Lepisosteus oculatus: one gene and its partner. The protein of the gene in region 1 interacts with the protein of each later gene in a pairwise test. Links are inferred from orthologs where the notes say so. Each region holds a gene or a part of one and is shown in the gene's direction. Other genes may lie near its edges.

Region 1 (8,243 bases):
TGAATGTTCCGGCTTCGACCCAGGCCCGGTTCCGCTTGCCGACCGCTCCCATCCGGCACTTCGGGAGATTCCGAAAAACGTTCAAATGGCGCCGCAGTAGGAAAGCTGGAATCAGTTAGCCTGCAATGAACAATCCAGCTGAAGTCATCGGTTCAAGTTTCAAGTTAATTGTCATTACACTCATATACATGGTATAGGGTATAACGAAATGCTATTTAGCTAGCTCTCGGACATAAGTAGTACAAAGAGAAAAACAACAACAACAATACAATTGTGTAGCAAAAGAAAGACAGAGACAACAGGCAGTGTGCAAAAAACAACAACAGACGATGTGCAAAAAAACAACAACAGGCAATGTGCAAAACAACAACAACACACGATGTGCAAAAAACAACAACAGGCAATGTGCAAAACAACAAAAAGGTAACAGGGTATGTGCAAAAATATGCATCAACAGAAGAAAATAAAGGGATAGAAATGATTGGGAGTGAGCTTTTGACATGTGAGGTAGAGGTAGATTTTCAATGTGTGTTTGAGTTTTTGGTAAGAAAGAAAGGAAGAAGGCACTGTGAGGTTCAGATCATAGGTGAGAGTGAGAGTGAATCGGTGAGCCGTCCCCCAGGATTAGGACTGAGAGCCGATGGGCTAGAAGACATGAAAGATGTCTCAGTGAAGCACTGTAGCTTCCTCAAGCGCGCCGTGTCCCACGGTGCACTCTGCTGTCAGTCTGGGCTCTCACGTTCGTGGGCTGGTCACCCCCATCGCCTCTGCAGCAGGAGATCCTGCCAGAGCTGACTGCGGGCCGAGGGCCATCAGGGTCCCCCCAGTGAGGGCGGCCAGTGCCCTTCTCCCCGTGCTCGTGTGGGTCTCCTCCTGGTGCGCCGGTTTCCTCCCGCAGTCCAGAGGCACGCTGGGAGCTGAATTGGCTTCTGGGAAAACCGGCCCGGGTGTGAGCCTGTGTCTGTCTGTCCCGTGATGGACAGGGTGGACCGTGCTCGAGCCCGTCACCTGGGCTTGCAGGAATAGGCTCTGGCTCCCCTGCGGCCTTGAACTGGATAAAACTGTCAAAAACACGGATGGATTGATGAATTGGTTGGTGGATTGATTGATTGGCTCATCTTCCTGTCGCCATCACCTCCATTAGCCCCCTGACTCTCTCGTATCTCTACCTGATGAAGCACACACGCCCCTTTTCTGTCTCACTCTCCATAGACTGTAGATACATATATATTAAGTACAGCATCTCCATCATCTTCGTCATCATCTTCCTCAGCCCGTATTAATCCCCTGCTAGATTAAAATATAGAAAGTCACCAGGGCTGGGAGCCAGGTCGTTCTGTGTGCCTGCAGTTTGCAACAGTTCCTCAGTCGCTGCCAAAGCTCAAATCGAATATCCAGAGGTATTCTGGGGGAAACACTGATTTATAATCAAGGATGCTGGCTCTCTTCCCTCTGGAACTCTGCTGCCTGCCAACAGAACAAGGGCCAGGACTGCTCTGTCCATGCTGCGTTCCCAGAGGACGGAGTACAGGGCTTTTCTCTGGTCTGCCTAATACACCTGCAGAGCTGGCTGTCCAGAGAGGACAGGCTCAGTGACCACAGTCTGGACATAGAAACTGGACACAGGCAGACCTGGCTATCTAGAGAAGACAGGCCCAGTGACCACAGACTGGACATGGAAACTGGACACATACAGACCTGGCTGTCCAGGGAGGACAGGCTCAGTGAACACAGACTGGACATGGAAACTGGACACAGACAGGCCTGGCTGCCTAGAGAGGACAGCAAGGCAAAACAGAAGAGGAGATGCACTTTCTGCAGCACTACAAGAAATACTCTAGTAGTATACATTCTTCCCTAAAATAATCTAAGAATTCCATCAGCTGGCAGAACAGGAACAGCTCCCAGTCCTGTACTGAGGGAGGAAATGCAGCAGAGCTGCAGTCCTGTGTGTGATCTCCTGTCACAGCCTAATAATGGGTAGTACTTTGGCGGCACTGTAATTCATCACTCATGTCAAGAAAGATCTGAATTTGACAGGTGAAGGATGAAGTTTCCAGCCAAGGTTAGGGTGAGAAAGAGAGTCAGGCTATCCCAGCAGATGGCGCTCTAAACACACAGCTTGTCTGCTGTTCGACTACACCTGCACTGTTAACAAGTAAGAACCTCACGACAGGTGTGGTGTCTGCACCATCTGATGACACGGGTGGAGACTTGGGAATTAAGTGTGTGGACTGGACTATTTCAGATACAGGAATAGTGTGGACTGGAGTATCTCAGATATAGGGATAGTGTGGACTGGAGTTTTTCAGATACAGGGAATATATGCACTAAGTATTTTGGATAAGTATTTTGGATATAAGAATTGTGTGGACTGGAGTATTTTCGATATAAGAATTGTGTAGACTTTAGTATTTTCGATATCAGAATCATGTGGACTGGAGTATTTTGGATATAAGAATCTTGGGACTGGAGTATTTCAGATGTAGGAATTGTGTGCACTGGAGTATTTCAGATATAGGAATAGGGTGGACTGGAGTATTTTGGATATATTAATCGTGTGGACTGGAGTATTTTCTATATAAGAATCGTGTGGACTGGAGTATTTTCGACGTAGGAATCGTGTGCATGGGAGTATTTCAGATAAAACTATTTTCTCCATCTCATCTGTTTTAATGTAAACTCTTCCATTCAAAACGACAGTAATAACCTTAGCTTAAAAACAGGAACAGGCACAAATTAAAAACATTAATGATCATATATACAGTACAGCTTTTTTAAAAGAACAAGAAATCGCTAAAGATTGTATTTTCACTTTGCGTCATGAATCAATAAAGATGTGTTACTGTAGTTTGGAAGAGGGTGACAGATGGATTTTCACTGATTGATCTGGCTGGGCTGAAAACTGCAAGGCTAAAACTCTGAAGGCTGCAACTCTGTAGCACTTTCCTGGTCCTGCCAAGAGCCCCAGATCTGAAGATCAGTGGATCTGGGCAGTGATAAATACTGTGTGTGCGCAGTAGTTAACAGAAACACGGTGGGAACTGCTGACCCACAAACTGGCCTGGTTTATTAATGATGTGAAGTGACACCGAGCGTTAGAAGGAAAAGCACACTTCAATTTGCAAAAACAAAAACACACAGTCTCAAAGCAAAGGATCGTTTTGGATCATTTTCAGAGGCGGCGGTGTGACGCTGGCCTACCAGGAAGACTGCTGCAAAGACACCCTTGTTAAGAGTGCAGAATAAGAAGAAGAGACCTGCCTGGGCCAAAAAACACAGAAAATGGACCTTTGAGGCCAGCTTCACGCAACCTCCTCTGAACAGGTGAACTCCTCTGAAACATCTGGTCTTCTAGTTGCACTGAGCTCAGCCTGTATTTCAGGGTCAGTTAGTCGCCAGTTTGGCAGACTTGTGACTCTAATGAACGTATTCTCTGATTCTGAGGTCACCTTTGGCCTGCCTGATCTTTTTCGGTCCTCCTGAGTGCCAGATTCTTCATATCGTTTGATAGTCTTGGCCACAGCAGTTACTGACACTAGCAATTTGTTCTTGCAATTTGTCTTAAAGATTGACTTTCATTTCTTAAAGTAATTATAAACTGTGTTTCTTCCTTGCTTGCTGAGCAAATTTTGCTATGTTCATTCAGGAATGACAAACGTTTGCCCATGCTCCCTATATTTATAATAATCACGTGTGTCTTTACAAAAGGTAAATGAGGTAACATGCTAGTAAACTGTGGGAACATCTAACAAAGACAATTTCAAACTTCTTTTAGTGTGCTAACACCGTGTTATACACATTTCTGACTTTTAATTAACCTGGGCTTCAGACTGCTTGCTTTGAGTATTCATTTTATTGAAAATGAAAAATTAACATTTTCAATGCAGTTCACCTAAGATTATAAGTTCACATACAGTATCATGTAATTAAATATTAAGTGTTGATTAACAAGTTTATACAGTTTAAACTACAGATAATGATGGAAAAACCTGGTTTCACACAGTACCTTTGACTGGTACTGGTACTGCATATCTACAGTATATGAAGAGTGAGATCATCAGGATCTCATACAGCTGTGTCCTGAAACAAGGTATCGGCTTCAACAACATGGCTGGGCAGCTTGTTCCACACTCCCACCACCCTTTGTGTAAAATGCTGCCTCCTGCTCTGAATTTTAAATGCGCTTCCTTGCAACTGTCACTCGTGCCCTCTGGTTCGTGTTTCACCCAAACACTACTGCAACCACCACTGAAACATCGGTTCCTCGGATAGAGCCAAGTTTTTAAATGCTCCGTTTTGTGCTCGCTGTTGTGTCGCCTGATTTATGTATTTTATCGATCTATAAAGTCCGCTAGATTGTAATACTATAAACACTTTGCCCCGAGTAGTGATGTGCTGCGTTGGCTGAATGACGTTAATGATTCTTCTGGGAACAACTGCAGTTGGAACACCAGGGCCCCCTAGCGAGCAACGCGAATGACTACCGCACTGTCATTAATGAAAGGGGTCAGGGATAGTTTAAACCCCCTTAAATTGTTCTCAACCGGAGAATAAATCACTTCCATTCCGAAGGAATCACAATAAGCGACACCCAGACCACCCCCTGCTCCCGCCCTCCCCTGCGCAGGCCGGCCGCGCATGCGCGGGGCCCGACTTCCTCCCGGAGGGCGGCGTGATTGGCCGGCAGAGTCACGCTGCAGCGCCGCTGGCAGGAAAGTTTACTGGGAGCGCAGGAGGAGGTCGAGTGCGTGCCGTCGTAGAGCCCGGGTGCAAAGTCCGTTTTCCGTGTCGGGTCTGGATGCGAGTGGGGTCGGGGTGCAGCCGAGATGCGAGACCGGACGAGAGAGCTGGGCGATGTAAGTGCGGTCCCGTCTCTCCGACCCTCGGCCAGCCGGGCTGGTGGCTGTCTGCTTTGCACGCACCCTGGGCGTGTTGTGGCACACAGTCTCGCTACTTTCTACGTCGCGATCGACACCGAGAAAGGGCTGGGGGTAGCTTTGCCCTCGTCCTTTTTTTTTTGCACTTCAGTCGTTGACGAGGCGCTGATCGTGGAAAATAAGCATGATAATAATAATAAAAGATAGATTTGTGAAGGTCCCGTTGAAATTAAAAGGACAAAGAAGGAAGACAGTTAAAATCGCGTATCTGGGCTTCCTCTCATCGTCTGGTTCCCTGTTATCTGTGTTGTATCTTCTGCTATGTTCTGAAGCACTAAGAAAACAACACACGGGAGCTGAGAAGCGACGGCCTGTTTAAAAAATAGTTTCTCCAAACCCCCCTCCGGGGCTGCCCGGTGTATAAATAGCGCTCCACCTCAACAGGCAGTCCGGGGGCTCCTGACACACACACACAGAAGGTGTCTTCTTCAGTGACGTCCAGCCCGAAACGAAACTTCACACGGAAAGGACGAAGGAGCTCGACTTGTTGCATGGAATAAGAGTACTTTGTCCCGGACGCCCACAAGGGACGGTCTTTATGTCAACTTGAATGATCGCCTGCCACTGCCCAGTATCTCCACGTTTTTTCCACCAAACGTCTCTCGCGCTTAGTACGGACAGTGTCCCTCTGTCAGACAGTACCAGTCTGTCAGTGGTTCTCGGTTAATCTGGGCAGTATGCGGACAGAGGTTGTGAGTTAATACGCCTAGTGTCTTTTTGAATTAAATATTCAAGCATACCGGTAAATTTAATATTAAAGGTGCTGTTTGTTTTGGGTGATTTTCTTCTGGATGTGTTAGTAGTCCCAACTTGAGCTACCCTGGAGTCTGTCATAAAGCCTAAGAGTATTAACGTGGAAATACTGATGAACGTTGCTCCTCGCTTTCGGTTTCCCTCTGCAGTGCTGTGTTGTACTCCCCTTAGATCAGATTAATACCAACACCTGTGTGAGTAAAAGAGTGTATTAATCCCTCTCTCAGTGCAGTGTTAATGTACTGGAGTGTCCAGTCAGTGTGTCTGTATGAACCCCTCTCTCTCAGTGCAGTGTTAATGTACTGGAGTGTCCAGTCAGTCAGTGTGTCTGTATGAACCCCTCTCTCTCAGTGCAGTGTTAATGTACTGGAGTGTCCAGTCAGTGTGTCTGTATGAACCCCTCTCTCTCAGTGCAGTGTTAATGTACTGGAGTGTCCAGTCAGTCAGTGTGTCTGTATGAACCCCTCTCTCTCAGTGCAGTGTTAATGTACTGGAGTGTCCAGTCAGTCAGTGTGTCTGTATGAACCCCTCTCTCTCAGTGCAGTGTTAATGTACTGGAGTGTCCAGTCAGTCAGTGTGTCTGTATGAACCCCTCTCTCTCAGTGCAGTGTTAATGTACTGGAGTGTCCAGTCAGTCAGTGTGTCTGTATGAACCCCTCTCTCTCTGTGTGCAGAAGGCGGAGAGTTCTGATGAGGAGGAGGAAGGCAGACCTCTGATGATAAAGCCAGGAACAGGGAAAACATCACAGAAAGCTGCCAAGGATGAGAACGATGAATTTTTCCAGAAGGTAATTTTAACTCTTGAACCTGTTAATGAGAATCTGTCTATGGTGGACTAGTGTCCCCTCGGTGACGGTCACCCCTGAAGGTCTGAATCCAAGCTGGAGCAGTCTGGGAATCCCAGCCACAGGAACAACACTGATGTTTCCATGTGTGACGAACCCATAAAGTCACAAGAAGAACTTTTAACTAGAATTGATGTATTTAAGTTCCTGCTGAGCAGTGTTGAAAGTGTGTCGTAAAATATCCTCTGCAGAGCGATGTAGGGAGTGGGGCTGGTGTCCTGGGTACATACATCCCTCTGGGCTCGTCCTCCTGGTTTTCTCTATAATTCCCCCCTTAGTTCACACAGCGCAGCCCTGTCTCTCTTCTCTGCCTGACTTGCTGAGCAGTAGCTGGTAGTAGTCTCTGCCTCGCAAGAACCTTGGGCGCAAAGCACAATAAAGTAGCGAAACGAAACTAATCATTTCCTCCAGTGGACGTCCCCTTGGGTATGTGCCTCCTCTCTTTTGTGACCTGCCTTGTGTTGGCTTCCTGTGTTACCGGTGCGTGTAGGAAGACCTACAAGCGATCTGTCCGTTTGAGGCATGCTGGGAAGATAGAATCGTTCAGTGGGTCGGAAAAGCACCGCCCCCTATAAATAAATCGGGGGACTGCGTGTCCTGTGGGGGCGCCGGTCACTAACCTCTTGGACCCCGTGTCTGTCCGGCAGGTGAGAGAGATCCACGAGGGCCTGGCCGCTCTCACCATGAAGGTCAACAGCCTGGAGGTCAAGCAGAGGACGATACTGGGAGTGGCCCTGCCTGAGGAAAGTGAGTAAGCTTCTCCCCCGGGACACTCCCGTGCGACATTGCACGCGGAACGGGACTCGGCTCCTTCCTTTCCGGATGGTCAGAGCTCCGGTTCAGAAGGCGCCTGTGAAGCGTCCTTCTTTCAGTGCGCGGTGATGACGTGTTTCTGGAGCGGCATGGTGCTCTGTTCTAGGGGATGAGCACTGCAGGATGAAGGTCTGCCCAGCTCTCGCGGAGTTGCTGTTGCATGTGGCGGAGTCGAAAAGCTTAGCAGCTTACAAAACCTGGAACTGGATCAACCTGCTATGCATTTGGAGGCTGCAGTCTTGGTTCAAATATCTGCCACTGGTAAAACCCAGGAGTGGATCCTTTGGCTATGCATTCGTAGGCCATGCCTCATTTACAGATGTAGCAATTTATTTACCCCTTCACCAAACAGCGTCTCCTGCGGGAGACTGGAGATGCGCTGCCTTCAGCCAACAGCGTCTCCTGAGGAAGACTGGAGATGCGCTGCCTTCAGCCAACAGCGTCTCCTGAGGAAGACTGGAGATGCGCTGCCTTCAGCCAACAGCGTCTCCTGAGGAAGACTGGAGATGCGCTGCCTTCACCCAACGGCGTCTCCTATGGGAGACTGGAGATGCGCTGCCTTCACCCAACGGCGTCTCCTGAGGAAGACTGGAGATGCGCTGCCTTCAGCCAACGGCGTCTCCTGAGGAAGACTGGAGATGCGCTGCCTTCACCCAACGGCGTCTCCTATGGGAGACCGGAGATGCGCTGCCTTCACCCAACGGCGTCTCTTGAGGAAGACTGGAGATGCGCTGCCTTCACCCAACGGTGTCTCCTGAGGAAGACCGGAGATGCGCTGTCTTCACCCAACGGCGTCTCCTGCGGGAGACTGGAGATGCGCTGCCTTCACCCAACGGCGTCTCCTGAGGAAGACTGGAGATGCGCTGCCTTCACCCAACGGCGTCTCCTGAGG
Region 2 (7,877 bases), on another chromosome or scaffold:
CTTGCTTCTCAGTATTAATTCCTCTCCTAGGGAGCTCCTACCTCGCCTTTGTTTGAACCCCTCTTGCGATACTTCTCCCAGCTACTGAACTTCCTTTTGCCTTTCGACCACAATTTCGCCTGACGTTTTGGATTGTTTGCCTGTTTCACTATCTTCCCTCTTCTTCGTCTGCATAGGATCCTCATACCTCATCCTTGGGATTCATTACAGGGGTGTGACTATGGTGATCTGGTGCTTGGGGGGCGTGGCGATGGCAGGCAGTCCAAAGGGAATCCAGAGCACAGTCCAAATTCCAAAACCGGAACAAACACAGTTAAAGTCAGGAACGGGATCTGGAACAGGGAATAAACAGGGAATAAAATGTAGGTGTCACTTAACTTATTAGTGGCGACTAGTGATAGGAGAGGTCAGACCCGATACGGTGCTGTGAAGGTAGATGTCGGGAATCCAAAAAGGCGAGAGAGAGTGATGAGAGGTCGGGTTGTCAGCCAGGGTCAGGTACAGGTGTCCGGTCGATAGGTATCCAAATCCGTGGTCCGTGAGAGAGAGCGACGAAGGTAGCCAGGGGCGAAGCAGGGTTGGTAATCAATAGTCAAGCCAGTAGGTGTCCAAATCAGAAATCCGTGAGAGAGAGAGAGGTGAAGCCATTGCCGAAGAGTATCAGGGTCGAAATCCAGAAGTCAGTAGAAGAAAACGCGCACAAGAGAAGGTTTAAGGCAATCTCAACAGTGAGCGAGGAGTGAACGGAGGAAGCGGGGAGTGAAGTGCTAATTGCTAATAGCGGCACAGGTGTGTGCGCCGGGAGGGGCACGCGGGAGTAAGATTCGTGACAGTAGGGACAGAGGCCAGGCGCTCCGAGCCCCGGACTCAGACGGTCAGGAGGCCGTGATGAAGCCTGTGCCGTCGGGTCTCTCCTGGACCCGCTGGTAGGCGGGCTTCTGGGCATCCATCTCCCAGTGCTGAGCCAGGAATAGCAAGAGCACCAGGCTGAAATAGTAGGACAAAGCAAGAGGCAGGTGCTCATAATCAACTAAAATACAAAAGGGTCGGAGTGTCCTTTAAGAGGAGGGATGCTGTTCGTGACAGAACATGTATGTACTGTAAATCTGCAATGGAGGCAAAACTTAACATTCCTCAGGAAACAGTGGGCAAATCAGGTACTTGGAAATATGGTAACTATTTTGGTAACACATAAACGGAGATGACTATAAGGATAATACACTCCATTTTCTGTGCTCATGATGCCTGGTTCCCAGAAAGTCTTCCAGTTTCTAAGAATAATGAAGTGGATTGACCTTATGTTTCATTGACTTTTCTGTAACTACCCTATGGGAACATCAGCTATGTAAATAAAAACCCTCAGAAACTCCTGGAAAAAGGACCTGCACTGTGTATGTATGTATGGATGCTTGTACAGTATGTTTGATTAATATCTGATTAATTAAAATGTGTGATCCTTGAGACCTACAGTAGATAGTGTGTCAAAAATGAATGACTGCTAATCCTACAGAATCATGATGCAGATAAAAAATGGTTAAGAAGGTATAAGGGGAAATAGCATAAACATTTTATTCAAACGTCTCTCAATGGTATTAACAGCATGCTTTCTTCTTTGCCTTCAAAGCACTTTTATCATTAGCACACACTCCTCTATAGGAAGACCACCAATGGAGAAGACAGGCAGCTACATGTATCAGACCCTAAAGACAATGATTAATCACAGCAAGACACTGCTCTTTCCCCATCTCTTATAATAGGTCTGAATAATTATAATAGGCTTGAGTAATTGCTTTGTTGCTGTTGTTTTTACATCTTATCCAAGGTGGATCCTCTGCTGTTACCATTTTGCTGTACCTTAAATATCATAAAGGACATTTTGCAAGTTAATATTTTGCAGCATTAAGTTGCTTTTAGCACATACTGTCTGTCATAACAGGCAAATACTAAGTACAGTGATGTGCTGCTAAAGCAGAGTCTAATGTGTTTTTTGATGTGAAATACACTGAAAGGCTTTTTCGCTTTGGTAATTGGTGAAAAGCAATGAACTTTTCATGCACACATGACTCACCTATGATAATATCGAAATAGCTCTCCGGAATAAAGAAAACTTCCACACCAAAGAGCAGGAAAATATTTCTAAACACTTACAGTATGTAACAGTTGTAATGATATTTTCTTTTCCATTATCATTATTCCTCACTTTTGTCAGCTCTGGTGTTCAATTGTTTCTTTAGAAGAAGAAAAGTCTGTTGGCTTAGATCAAGCATCGAAGAATTCAAACAAAAGAGAACATTTTCAAGGACTATTTCAAGCATTAAAAAAATGTTTTCATTCTCATTGAAAAGACCTTAACACGAATATCACTAAGGGCTCTAAAGAAACTCTATGATTGTACGCCAAGATTGGTGTGATAAAAATGACCAGATGATTAAATGTTTAAAGTTGATTAATAATACAATATTAACATATATATGGCGCATTAGCTCAAACAAATGTGCATTTATGGTTATATATTTAGATATAAATATAAAGTAATGTTTTTGAACTCTTTTCTGCTGGTGCTCATTCCAGCTGAACTCTACATTTCCAGTGCTAATGTCACAAGATGTTGGCCGTTGAAGCAGTAACAGGTTGTGATGAATCGCGTTGTGTTGATGGCCAGGATTGTGTCAATGTGACAGTGGAGCAGGGAACAATTAGTAACAATGGTCATACCCAAGTCATCCAGGAAGCAATTAGGTACTGACGCATGGAGGTGTGAGGCTGAGCCAGTTCGTCAGACCTTGGGCAGGGGAGTGGAGCAGGAAAGCACACAAAGAAATGAGAAGTGCCCATGACACCTAGGACTTCCCGTTCTCAAACGACCTGAGCTTCCTCCTGATAATGTTCTGGGTGCACCCGCCACTGACAGAGACAATAGGAAAACCACTTGGGGGGATGGCTTATGGGAGGGATAAAAAGATCTGAGCCTCAACAGAGGAGTCTCTTCTCCAGGGTAGCCCCTCGACACGAGACAGGCAGTGCAAGGAAACCCGCAACCTGCGAGTCCACAGAGGAGATTCTCCCTGGAGTTGCAGATCATGGGAGAAGGATGCAGAGGAACGGAGGTACTGCACAGAGACATCTAATACTTGGAGGAAAGAAGCAAAGAAACCGGCCTGGTGAGTCGATACTGACCCAAGGGGAGAGTAGTGCACTCTAAAGGAGGACTCCCGATATAGTCCAAACGGAGACCGGGGAAATTGGACTGTGCGGCATCACTTTTCTATACATTGCTGTCCTTCTCTGTAACACCAAGACTTTCCAACGCCCTCTCCTCATCACCTGCAAGGACAGCTGACCCCCAGGAATTCATTAGGACTCTTGAAAGAACCTGTCCTTGCTGATAGTTAATGTTACTGTACATAATTTATTAAAAAGGGTACTTATACGATACTAATGCTTATCGCTGGTCTGTGTGTGCATTGGTGATTCTGGGAGATAATCAGAACGTGTGGTAATGTAGAGGGTTTTTTGGAGAAATCATTGAGAAGCTGTTATTTGACTTCATGACACCCATGATTAACTTATTCAACTTTCACAGACGGGTCTTATATTTAATATACTGTATAAACATAAGTTCTCACCACATACATACTATATAAACTATAAATACTATATAACAAAGGTATTAAGTACAAAACAAAAAGTCTTGCAGGTAACCCTAACTCTGTCAGTATAGACCTGACATCTACAGTTACTTTGTTCTTGAATGGTGTGAAAATAAAAGATAAAAATGCAATTTTAAAAACCACATAAGGAATTTGTTTAAACTCTGCTTCATTTCTATCTGTATATCCTTCTAGAATTTAATATTTGTAAATACTAACTGAAAATTATTTTGGACAACTCCTGACAGATACTGCCTTACAAAAAACATTTACAACTGTTCATAGGCTTTAAAATGTTAAACTAAGACTTTCTAGATTCAGACTTTTCAACAAGATTCAACAAGATGATTTGTGTATTTTAAGCCTGGGGAAAAAAAAAACTCGGACACATGTGTTACTTGTTTTGGACAGACTTGCAGAACTTTAATAATACGCATTAAAAAGGCAGACTTAAAAAGTTTCATATAAACTTTACGCTTTGAGCCATGTAATATGGAAGAATAGTTATAATTTGACATAATATTCACAAATAAAAAAATTGGATGAAAATGTTTCATTTGTTGAGTTCTATTTTTTAATTCTCTCTAGCAGTATACTGTTTTGTGATTTTTTTTTATTGTTCACTTAGCTTTTCGGATACTTTTTATTCCTTAGATGTATCATTTGATGTACAATATTAAAAAGGCAGTTGAAGCATGAGCCTCTTCCGCTTGCATTGCGTTTGCTTCAGCACTTTCAGGTTGCAGTGAGACTTTGCTATGCATTCTGGGCGATGTAGTCTTTTTTTTTGCTACTCAACTTGTCTAAGTAATTTAAAGAACTCAGTAATAGCCAAATAAATAATCATGCCTCCTGTTGAATTTGAATCATATGCCTGAATGTACCGGACATGATGTTGTGAGAGTGGTCACAGACAAGCGCAGGGAGAGCCGGTGTGAATTATTCTTTAGTCAACCGCATGCACTCCATTACCCACAAACCAAGATGTTCTGCCGTGTTCCGGGTTGTTGTTGTCGTGAAGTTTCATTTTTTTTTTCGATAGCTGCTGTTCATACACGTTGGCAAAGCAGAAATCGGTTTCGGGAATTGTAACTTCGGTAAATTATTGTTACCGAGAAAATAAGTGTTGGCAACAAACGTTGTCTGAAAGGAGTCTAAGGGATCAAAATGAGGCGAGCGGGTTTGGGTAAGAGGAGCTGTATCCACTCTTGTTTCTGAAAATGGTTTACTGAATTGTACCATGAACTCGAAATAAAATTTAAGGGGACTCGTTGGTTATTAAAATTTATAAACGATATATTGATTATTTCTAAAGTAAATAGAGGATTTTATTATACAGGGTGAAAAGGTTTGTCCATTACTAAATGTATTAATTAATTTAAGACGCAGTCTGAACAATAATTCCTGAAATCCCCGTAGTTTGAACTCTTCATACCCTGCGCCCTAAACGAGTGAAATGTCTCGAAATCCGAGCTGTTATTTCCCATGAATGGGAGACGGTTCAATCAATTTTACAAGTATATCACAGTCTTAGGATGTTTTTTTTTATCATTTCTCACTAGGGAAACAGCTCATTAAATACAGTCGAGATTGAAAGTTGATTTAAAACGTATTCGTTGATTTAAAACAAGAATCTCGATGTACATCAGTTTTTTTTCTGTAGAACCTGGTTTTATACTCTATATGACTAGACTGTTTAGACAAATTGTTTTCAAGTTCTAATACCTGTCATTTTGCTTGATAATTCATTCATCAATTACATGGGTACTATGGTTAGTTGCAATATTTTAAAGTGAAGTTAGACAAGTGAAGTTAGTGCAAAAGTTGGACCTTCTTAGTTTAACACTTCATCGAGCAAACGTCATTGTTGATAAGATCGGATATACATTGTATATACAAGAACAGTTAAATGTTATTGAATCAGGGCTGGGGTGATCCCAAGAATGTTATTTTTTTATAACATTTATTTTTTTTTAGAAATTTAGAATCACCAGTTTTATGTGTTAGTCCCACCCAGTTTAGAACAGCAAAGTTATGGTTTTTCACAAGTTGTTTCATAACTCCTCCTTCCAGTCAGTCATTTCTTGACACATCACAGACAACCCCACTCTGTGCCACAGGTTCAGTGCTGGTTGGTGGAGAGGCCCATCCTTCACCCTCAGCACTGCAAGCTTGCAAACACTCCAGAAGACTACAGGGGGCGCTGTGTCACTGACTACACCCACTCTACCCTCGCCCATTTCCAGTGCCGCTGACTGGGGAAATTTGTGTCACAGTCAGCTGCTGACATGGCCCATGCTTGAACCCATGATCACAGAGCTCTACCTGCAAGGAACTTGACCATTTCAGCCTTTTGGATTAAAGGATTTGCAAGCCTGTTTCATTTAATATCACTTTATTGGCCATATACAATTTCTTGCATTAGGAATGATCTTTTCGCATGCCACAGCTTGCTCTCCATGAGACACACAGACAGGGAGAGAGAAGCTGGGGGTCAGAGCGCAGGGTCTGCCATTGTATGGCACCCCTGGAGCAGTTGGGGTTAAGGGTCTTGCTCAGGGGCCCAACAGAGTAGGATTCCTCTGCCGGCTGCGGGATTTGAACTGGCAACCTTCCAACCGCAGGCACAGATCCTGAGCCACAGAGACACTGCTCCGCCCACTCATTTAAAGAGTAGTCTGGGGCTCATCATCCCTGGTCAAAGATAAGGAAGGATTGGTGATGGTGACCTGTCAGATTTTACTGGGCACACCCTTAGTTGGCTTTCTAAGCCACATGGTTTAATCATTTTCTTTTTTAACCTGTTTGCAAGTCTGTGAAGATCAATTTATTTTGCCAAAAAAAGAGTGTAGTTTTTAAGTATTGTATTAATCATATACTGCAGACATGTTTTCCTTGTCGCCGTCCTTTCATTTATGTAAAATAATGGGAATTTCCCTTTATGGCCACAGTAATTGTAATTAAACAGTTAGTGAAAGCAAGTACTTCGAAATGGAGATGTAGGGAACAATACAGCCGACATGATTGTATAAACCTGTACTGTATATCTAATGTTGTGGAAAATTCAAAGTTTAATTGTATTGCTCACAACATTGTAATGAACCAGTCATGATATTTTTATTTTATCTTTGGATGTTATCACCTTCTTTTAACAGGTGATGGAGCACCCACAGGAAATTATGTAGCAAGTGGATACAGTGTTCATGAAGAAGAAAATGAAAATTTATCCGAAGGTTTAAGAGCTAAAGTCAGTGCTTTAAAACATGTAAGTACAGTTCACTGACCTTCCAGTTTTGGAAAGTGGAGGTGTCCTTGTTTATTTTGGGGGGCTGCAATGATGGATCAATTCTGACCTTCAAAGGTTCAGAACACATTGCTGAATAAAGCTTTTGATAGTTGTATTTCATATGATTTACTAATGATGTCAAATTGTGTAAGTTTATCTTTTGGAAAATCCTTGTTTTATATGTAATCCATACAAATGTAACATCCCTGTGCATTTTAAAGAGAACAGTTCATTGCTATAAAAAAGGGTTCTGTTTCTGTACATATATTTGAAAAATATACTTGTTTTGTATACAACTATATATATTTTTTCACCTAAAAGCACAGAAATTGTGTAATTCATTTGTCGTAAGTATGTGTCCATTAGGTTTTTATGTACTGACAACTACTACTGATAAAACAGGGCTGCTTTGTTGTAATGCAGTTGTTGGAGTCTGTTTTGTATTCGACATTATATAGTTTTTTGGCATCCTTACTTTTGAAGTGATTTACAGTGGCCATAAGCTAAACAAGCCCCTTTTCTATAACAGAAGCCACTATTTCACTATTTAAAGTTTATACCACTCTTTCATACAAACAATTGTATTCGAAGGCCACAAACAATTATTATTATCATCATCTTCAGGAGCCCAATTCTGAGTCAGTTTTACCAAGAAAATGTCTCCGTTTTTCTTTGTCTGTTAGCTATCCTAGCAAAATAGGTGCTGCACTGTGTAATTTTTGAAACAGCACCCTTGATTCAGCAGGCTGAGTGAATAAGGGTTTCAGAGATTTGTGTGGCGTGTTAGAGTCAAAAAACATTATGTCGGAAATGGGAGCCATAGCCTTTCTGCATTGTGACCAATTTAGTGTTATAACAGGGACCATTCTGTAATAACTCTTTGATTCTCAATATTTTCCCAAATCTAAAGACTTTGTGACGCACTGCCTCCATCATCACAC

The links. The genes of interacting proteins can lie anywhere in the genome.
Region 2: the proteins of stx4 (region 1) and bet1 interact in binary tests that used the Homo sapiens proteins (3 or more experiments, as listed by UniProt). The two-hybrid records come from large-scale screens. The link is inferred for Lepisosteus oculatus from reciprocal best matches to the Homo sapiens genes STX4 and BET1.

Annotation. Positions count from the first base shown.
Region 1 is NC_090699.1:15,298,578-15,306,820, forward strand, and holds the start of stx4 (syntaxin-4), read left to right. Parts: upstream 1-4,670; 5' UTR 4,671-4,829; coding exon 4,830-4,859; intron 4,860-6,367; coding exon 6,368-6,481; intron 6,482-7,185; coding exon 7,186-7,285; intron 7,286-8,243. UniProt on the Homo sapiens protein: Plasma membrane t-SNARE that mediates docking of transport vesicles. Necessary for the translocation of SLC2A4 from intracellular vesicles to the plasma membrane.
Region 2 is NC_090705.1:4,535,048-4,542,924, forward strand, and holds the start of bet1 (BET1 homolog), read left to right. Parts: upstream 1-4,656; 5' UTR 4,657-4,817; coding exon 4,818-4,836; intron 4,837-6,805; coding exon 6,806-6,915; intron 6,916-7,877. UniProt on the Homo sapiens protein: Required for vesicular transport from the ER to the Golgi complex. Functions as a SNARE involved in the docking process of ER-derived vesicles with the cis-Golgi membrane.